Cricetulus griseus: one gene and its partner. The protein of the gene in region 2 binds, or shares a complex with, the protein of the main gene of each other region. Links are inferred from orthologs where the notes say so. Each region holds a gene or a part of one and is shown on either strand. Other genes may lie near its edges.

What was found. The genes of interacting proteins can lie anywhere in the genome.
Region 1: the proteins of Nelfe (region 2) and Ncbp2 are in contact, whole or in part, in a crystal structure (PDB 5OOB), measured with the Homo sapiens proteins. The link is inferred for Cricetulus griseus from reciprocal best matches to the Homo sapiens genes NELFE and NCBP2. Residues at the interface, in NP_002895.3 of Homo sapiens: Lys361, Arg362, Gln364, Ile365, Val366, Tyr367, Asp369, Tyr372; in NP_031388.2 of Homo sapiens: Phe49, Tyr50, Thr51, Thr52, Glu53, Gln55, Lys68, Ile69, Ile70, Met71, Leu73, Lys77, Lys78, Thr79, Ala80, Asp107, Glu121, Gln124.

The regions. Positions count from the first base shown.
Region 1 is NC_048597.1:57,548,751-57,552,779, forward strand, and holds the start of Ncbp2 (nuclear cap-binding protein subunit 2), read right to left. Parts: upstream 2,813-4,029; 5' UTR 2,736-2,812; coding exon 2,658-2,735; intron 1-2,657. Other genes in the region: protein NCBP2AS2, read left to right, coding at 2,958-3,257. UniProt on the Homo sapiens protein: Component of the cap-binding complex (CBC), which binds co-transcriptionally to the 5' cap of pre-mRNAs and is involved in various processes such as pre-mRNA splicing, translation regulation, nonsense-mediated mRNA decay, RNA-mediated gene silencing (RNAi) by microRNAs (miRNAs) and mRNA export.
Region 2 is NW_023276806.1:231,395,931-231,399,463, reverse strand, and holds the end of Nelfe (negative elongation factor E), read right to left. Parts: intron 3,085-3,533; coding exon 3,010-3,084; intron 2,906-3,009; coding exon 2,868-2,905; intron 2,723-2,867; coding exon 2,367-2,722; intron 2,276-2,366; coding exon 2,131-2,275; intron 2,047-2,130; coding exon 1,992-2,046; intron 1,852-1,991; coding exon 1,749-1,851; intron 832-1,748; coding exon 761-831; 3' UTR 512-760; downstream 1-511. Other genes in the region: Cfb (complement factor B), read left to right, coding at 55-104, 314-469. UniProt on the Homo sapiens protein: Essential component of the NELF complex, a complex that negatively regulates the elongation of transcription by RNA polymerase II.

The sequences.
Region 1 (4,029 bases), on a different chromosome or scaffold from region 2:
TCACCTGCATTCTTTTTATAACAGAGCTCAGGCTAGCAGGTATTTACTTATTATGTATGCAGTGTTCCACCTACATGTGTGCCTGCAGGCCAGAAGAGGGCACCAGATCTCATTACTATGGTTGTGGGCTGCTCTGTGGTTGCTGGGAATTGAACTTGGGACCTTTGGAAGCCAGTGCTCTTAACCACTGAGCCATCTCTCCAGCTCTGCAGTTTTCTTTACTTTTTAAGTTATTGTGCATGCATGCGTGCATGCGTATGCACGCACAGTGTGACAGCCCTTGGAGACCAGAGGCATCAGATTCCCTGAAACTGGCTGTGAGATGATACCTGGTGTGTTAGGGACTGAACTAGAGTCCTCCAGACACCCCCTACCACTTTGTTTTTTTTGGGGGGGGTTTCAAGACAGGGTTTCTCTGTAGGTTTGGAGACTGTCCTGTAACTCTTTGAAGACCAGGCCTGCCTCTGCCTCCTGAGTGCTGGGCTGGGATTACAGGCCTGTGCCACCACCACTCAACTGTCTCCAGATGCTTTTGTTACTGTTTTTTTGAGACAGGGTTTCATGTAGCTTAGGCTGTATTGAACCATTGTAACCAAGGATAACACTGAATTGCTGATCCTCTTGCCTCCACTTTCCTAGTACTGGGCTTATAGGCACTCACCACCACTCCAAGTTTATATACAGCTCAAGATCTACCCAAGAGTTTCATGCATGCATGCTAGGCAAGCATTCTACCTGTTGAGCTAAGTCTACTTAGCCCAATTGTTTTCTGAGATAGCCCAATCTGGCCTCAGACTCCTGAGACTCATGCTACCACCTCCCCCAAATGCTTCAGTAACAGGCATGGGTCATCACACCCATCTCCAAGTTACAGTTTTTGGCTTGGCTTTATTATTATTTTATAGGTATGGGTGTTTTGCGTGTTTGTATGTCTGTGTACCAGATGCATGGCTAGTGCCTTCAGAGACCAGAAGAGGGCACCAGATCCTTTGGAATCAGTTACAGATGGTTGTGAGTCATCATGCCAGGACTGGGAACTAAATCCAGGTCCTCCAGAACAGCTTGTGCTAACCTCTAAGACATCTCTCTAGCTTTCCAAGTTACAGTTTAAAAAACAAAACAAAGTAAAATTCTGGTCTTATCCCCACTACCACATTGCCTTAAGATCACAACAGGACTGAACAGGTGAAGTCTATGGAACAATAGTCATTTGCATTCAAACAAACAGCTGGGTGCCCTGGGCGATGGTGGCACACACCTTTAATCCCAGCACTCGGGAGGCATAGGCAGGCGGATCTCTGTGAGTTCAGGGCCAGCCTGGTCTCCAGAGCAAGTGCCAGGATAGGCTCCAAAGCTACACAGAGAAACCCTGTCTTGAAAAAAACAACCCCAGCTGGGTGGTAGTGGTGGTGTTGCATACCTTTAATACCAGCACCTGGGAGGCTGAGACAGGCAGATCTCTGTGCGTTCAAGGCCAGCCTGGTTTACAGAGGGAGTGCCAGGACAGGCAGGGCTACACAAGAAACCCTGTCTCAAACAAACAAACAAGCCCAAACCAAATAAACCCAAGGTTTTAGAACTTTCGATGATCCATTAGAGAAAATAATCACTTCAACATTTTCTTTTACATGTTCCAGCTGATCTCATGGGATCTTCCTGCCTCAGTCTCCAGAACAACTAGGAATACAGATGTCCACCATCGCACCTGGCTAGCAGATTCACTTTGTACTGCTGTTCGTTTCTCACAAGTAAAATCCAAACAGTTTACAGCTTCAGTGTAACTTAATTTCACACTCAGTACAGCACTGACACTAAAAAATGCACGACAGAAATTATTAATGTCCGAACAGAGCTACAGGCTTTTGACAAAAGAAATAAATGATCCCTCTCCTGGTTTTAACCTTGCAGGATGCTTTAAATTCAAAATCGTTAGTTACTGATGTGGAACTGTTGAAAGTAATGGGAACTGTTAAAAACAAAACAAAACAAAACAAAAACAGCAGTACAAGTGAAACTCATACCAGACACACAGTATACGTTTTCAAATTAAGCTGATTGAGTTTCTTTGTGTTTTTGCTTGTATTTCGAGACAGGGTTTCTCTGTGTAGCCAGTGCCTGCACTGGATTTTGCCATCCAGACAACCTTATTGTGACTCGTGTGGCTTGTCCATGCCCGATGCCCGTCAGACAGCAAAAAACAGGGCTCAACTTTGAGTCTCCTACTATTGCCAACTTTGTAGGACTGTCTTACAAAAACTAAGGACTGTAATACCAGACGGGAATGTCTAGCTGATTATAAAAACAAAAACGGCTATACTGTCTGGGTCAGCCAACGCAGGGATAACTCCTTCATTACAGACACTTTCCCAAGCAAGACAAGCCCATCAAAACAGCCACCACTACCCGAACCTCCCTGCATTGGTGCTGGTACCCGCAGCAGCAGTAAGAAACTGTAAAAGCAAATCCCAGGTTCCCTAGGAGTAAAGTGGCTTCAATGATATCCAAACACCTCTGGGACCCCATTCGCATTTTAGGACCCCAACAAAACAGGAAGGAAGACACAATAAGACGAGTGGAAGACACAGTAAGACAAATGCAAACCGTTTCTCAGTATTCCAGCCCAAAGCCAGCCCCTCTCGTGGCCCGGCCCGCCTCACCCGGAAGTGCTGGTCCCGGTACTCGCTGAGCTCCACGTAGGAGTCACTGCGTAGCGCCTTCAGGAGGCCACCGGACATGGTGCAGACACGAACCACGACGCGGCCACGACTGGAAGGACCAGGCGGCGGTGGCGGCGGAAACGGAAATGCGTGCGTCCTGTTGCAGTAAGCCGACGTGGTCAGGGCCAATCCTGGTGCGGCTGTGTCGTCATCATGCGGCGCCGGCTTGTCCGTCGTCGGGAGTGGCCGGTCGGAAGGTGAGTGAAGGCTCGCCCCGGGTTCCCGGGCGCTCCGAGGACGATGATTTTCCGGCGGCTGCTGGCAGCCCTGCTGCACAACCCGCAGCTGGTGGAGCGGCTGTCCGAGTCACGGCCTATCCGGCGGGCGGCGCAACTCACGGCTTTCGCGCTGCTGCAGCTGCAACTGCGCGGCCACGACGCGGCCCGCCGTCTGCGCGCCCTCGCGGGTCAGCCCCTAGGCTCCTTGGGTCGCCGCGCCACCCGGTTCAAGGACACCTTCACCCAGGAACTCCGCCGAGGCCTCCGGGACCAACCAGGGTCATCCCCAGGTCATCAGAAGGGTCCGGGCACCAAATCATAAGCACAGACTGCACTCTCACGGGCCTAGGTCACGTTCCCCCACCCCTCCCTCCAGTGATCTACACCGACCTTAGCAAACATGAGTCATCTCCCGCACGATGCACGGCCTCGAATCCTGACGCGGCGGTCAACATACAGAAGCCTAAGGTCAAATGGACATGTGCGTGGTAGTCCTGTGACTAGGCAGGACGTAAAGACCCCGAAGGCCACCAGAGATAAAAGTCAACACCAAAACTTAGTATGACTGAGAGCCAAGGACAAACGACCAGGAAGCCTGCCTTCTGCAAGCGGGACTGAAGCGAAATAAACGCTACTGCCATCTGCACTGGTGCAGGAGAATACCAGGGAAGATGGTAGATGGAATGACAACCCTGAGGTTGCCAAGATCTCTGGTTAAATATGTAAGCTGCTAAGTCTGTAGGATCTTGCTAATAATAGTTTACACGTTAAGCGTCTGTGTTGCTATTTGCTGTTGCATTGTGTGGTTTGTGACTTAAAACCCCATTCGTGTGAGAAAGTGGAGGCCACTTTTTGAACCCAAAGCCTTGTACAATGAGGTGAGCCCAGGCGTGTGACTCCAGGATCTGTGTTCTTGAGCACTCCCTGCTCAGGGACTGGCTTTTCAATCTCCACTGAGCACTGAGGCCTCTGTTATAGCAGCACAGGATACTTGGTTTCCTTGAGGCTCTGTCTGGAGTACTCACTATGGTCAGTTAACTGAACTGTGATTAGGAAACCTGTGCACATAAATTGCCTTGTCATTTTGAGACTCC
Region 2 (3,533 bases):
TGGTGAAGCCCACAGGGCCCAGCCGTCTTTCCCTACAGCTTCTCTCTTCCACAGGAGATTCTGGGGGTCCTCTCATTGTTCACAAGAGGAGCCGCTTTATTCAAGTGAGTCTGTGGGGGAGACGCCCAGGGGCCACATATACCACAAAAAGGAACGCTTGATGCACGTGGCTGACTATAAGCCAAGCATCTGGCCTATGTGCACCAAGGAAGACAGTGCGAGCTGGGCCCCTGGTGTACTGTTTTGGGTCAGCTTGGCTGCTTTATGGGATTATGAAGTGTCAAGTGACCCATGGCACCCTTCACCTGCACAGGTCGGTGTCATCAGCTGGGGCGTAGTGGATGTCTGTAAAGGGCAGAGGCGGCAACAGATGGTACCTGCTCATGCCCGGGACTTCCATGTCAACCTTTTCCAGGTGCTCCCCTGGCTCAAGGAGAAACTCAAAGATGAGGATTTGGGTTTCCTATGAGGGGCTTCCGGCTGGGAGGGGCGAGGGTCAAATTAAAACAGCTGCGATAAGGACTGTATTCTTCATCTTTTGGGGGTAAGGGGTCAGGGGGTGTGCACTGGTCATGTTGCTACAAGTAACATCAACACTGACAGCCACTTTTGAAGGTTTAACCCCGATCCCAAGTGTTGAAAGACTAGAGGCTGAAGGGGGTGAGGGAACTTCTGCCCCAGGATTTTACTGAGACCAGCTTGGGGGCATACGAGGCACAAGGAATCCAGCTTCGTGTCCTAAAAGCCATCCACAGGTTTCCTACAGATCGTCACTGTACACAATCTGGGTCCTTTTGTCCCGGTGGCAGCCCTTAGGGCTGTTCTGGACAGCTGAGGAGGGAGGAAAGGGACAATTAAGATGTCAAGCAGCTCACAGGTTAGACCTGAGGTCTGAGTCTGATTATCTCCGCCCTGGCCTTGGCCTACCAGTGCTTATGCTGCCCCCTGGTGGCCAGAGTCTCACTATGGCTTAGAGAACGCAGAACCTTGTTACTGTGCGTGAGACATGTGAATGATGAAATCATGAAATACATGAAATTAAAGATGAGAACATCTCTGTGGCCCTTGCCGGTATCCTGGTCGATTCTGGTTCCTTCCTGGTGTCTGCAGGGCCTCTTGCTCTGAAAATCTGTTTCAGGCAGAGTGGGCTGTCCACACTGAGGAACCCCACACACGTCTTCTGTGGAACCCTCAGATCCCAAGTGCTCAGCTGCTCTTTCCTTACACTCCTCAGCCAAAGGTTCCATCCTACACCTGTGGTGCCAGAGGCAGCACCCCCCCCCCCAACTCTGGTCCTGTACTCTGCCTCTGCTGACTGCCCCTCCTCCTCAGAGCCTGGGTCCATGGCCCAGGGCTTCTGGGGCTGCTCTCGGGGGATGCCTCATGGCTCCTTCAATGAAGCTGCCACTTCCTCCTGGCAGGCCAGGATTGCTGGAGACAGAGCCCAGCCAGCTTCTTAACGTACTTGATCCCCCAAACCAGTCCTGGGTCACCCTTTTCTCTACAATTCCCATTTCTTGATGGTTCCAGACTCACAATTTCAAGTTCTGACACCACCCCAGCTCAGAGGGGGCAACATGGTTCTTGCTCTACTCCCCATGCCAGTCACTCCCCTCCCCTCCCCTTCCCTCCCCTTCGACAGACAGCCTGGCAATTCTCTATCAGCTGCCTAGCGCAAACCTTCACCCTTAGCACTCTAGGGAGTAGTGTGCTGTAGAGAGGAGATGAGGGAAGAATCCCATCCTTACCAAGGGAACCCCAGACAGATTTGCCAGTAGCAGCATCCAGCATGGGCTGTTTGCGGGCTATGTTGACTTTGAGCTGCACGGATTCCACCTGGGTCCCATTGAGCTGTGGGATACAATGGGAGGACAGAGGTGGGCATTACAGGGAGCCAGGGGACCAGACAGGGCTCTGAGGACAGAGTTTTTCTCAGTCGGGAGAAGAGGTGGACAGGAGGGACAGGAGGGAGGGGTCTGAGAAGTCCCAACCTCAGCAACGGCCTGATCTGCAGACTCCATCTTTTCATAGGTGACGAAGGCACAGCTGAGGTGAGAAAAAGCGGGATCAGTAGTGGTCCATGGCCCTAGTGTCCCCACACAGCTCCCTCCCCAGGAGGCTCGTCCTTACTTTCTGGGTGGGTCCATGGAGAGGTCAATGATGTTTCCAAAGGGAGAGAAGGCCCCTCGGAGGAGGGTGGGCGTCATGTCCTCTCCATACACATAAAGTGTGTTCCCCTTCCGAGGGGCCCTCCTTTCGGGGAATGAGTCTGACCCTGTGGGTCAGGAATTACAGTCATTCACTACTGAGTCCCAGTCACCCCCCTCTTTAGCAGGGCCCACCTAACCCTGGCCAAAAGCACGCACTGCGGAAAGGGCCCTCGCGCTCTCGGTCCCGTTCGCGGTCTCTGTCTCGATCCCGGTCTTTATCTTTGTCCCGGTCTCTGTCTTTGTCTCTGTCCCGGTCTCTGTCTTTATCTCTGTCACGGTCTCTGTCTCTATCCCGGTCTTTGTCTCGGTCTTTGTCCCGGTCCCTATCTCGGCTCCTCTCATGACTTCGGTCGCGGCTGCGGCTTCGGGGAGGGGACGCTGAGGAGCGGGCACCACCATGTTCTTCGTAGCTCCAGTCAAAACCTCGGGGTGGGCCATCACCAGCCCCGGGGCCCTCTGATTCTTCTCCATCTGGTCCCAGTTCCCGCAACCGATCGCTAGAAGACACAAAGCTGGGGAGAGGCAGACAGTAAGGACAAGGGGGCTCCATCTTCTTACAGACACACTCCGCCTGCAGCCTGCTCCTTCCACTCCAGCCCTGAACCTTCCAATGACTCTGGCCACTGACCCCACAGCAAACTGTGGCTTCTCTCTAACCTTTCATATAGAGATTTCCTTTGGGGACGTCTGGATGACTGAGGGGGGGAAAAAGAAGATAAAGAACAATTAATATGATTCCCAGGTGCTCGAACGGGATCCAAAATCTGTGGGTCTTTTGTCTTCAACCCCGGCCATTTACCTCCTGCAGGTCCTCATCAGCAGATACGCTCCTCTGGAACGGCTGGAAAGTGGGGGCAGGCCCCTTCTCAGGGTCCTGGGAAGGGATAGACACCCATGTTAGTGTGGACCAGCAGAGTTCCTCTTCCCTCTCTTCTTGGCTTCTCTTGATGATGCTGGTCTTTTTTTTTTTCCCCTTGGTTTTTTCTTTGGTTTTTGCCTATGTCTCCTGAGAGCTGGGGTTAAAGGCGTGCGCCACCAACGCCCAGCGATGATGCTTGTCTTTTTGTTTGTTTTCGAGTCAGGGTTTCTCTGTGTAGCTTTGGAGTCTATCCTGGCACTTGCTCTGTAGATAGGCTGGTCTTGAACTCACAGAGATCTGCCTGTCTCTGCCTCCCGAGTGCCGAGATTAAAGGCGTGCTGCCACCACCTGGCTTGCTATGCTATTTTAAAATAAGGGTTTGGTTTACTCAACCCTCAATCCCACCCTAGCAGCACCAATGTGGAAAACAGAAACGTAGGAGCCACCTAGGTTTCCTGAGTAAC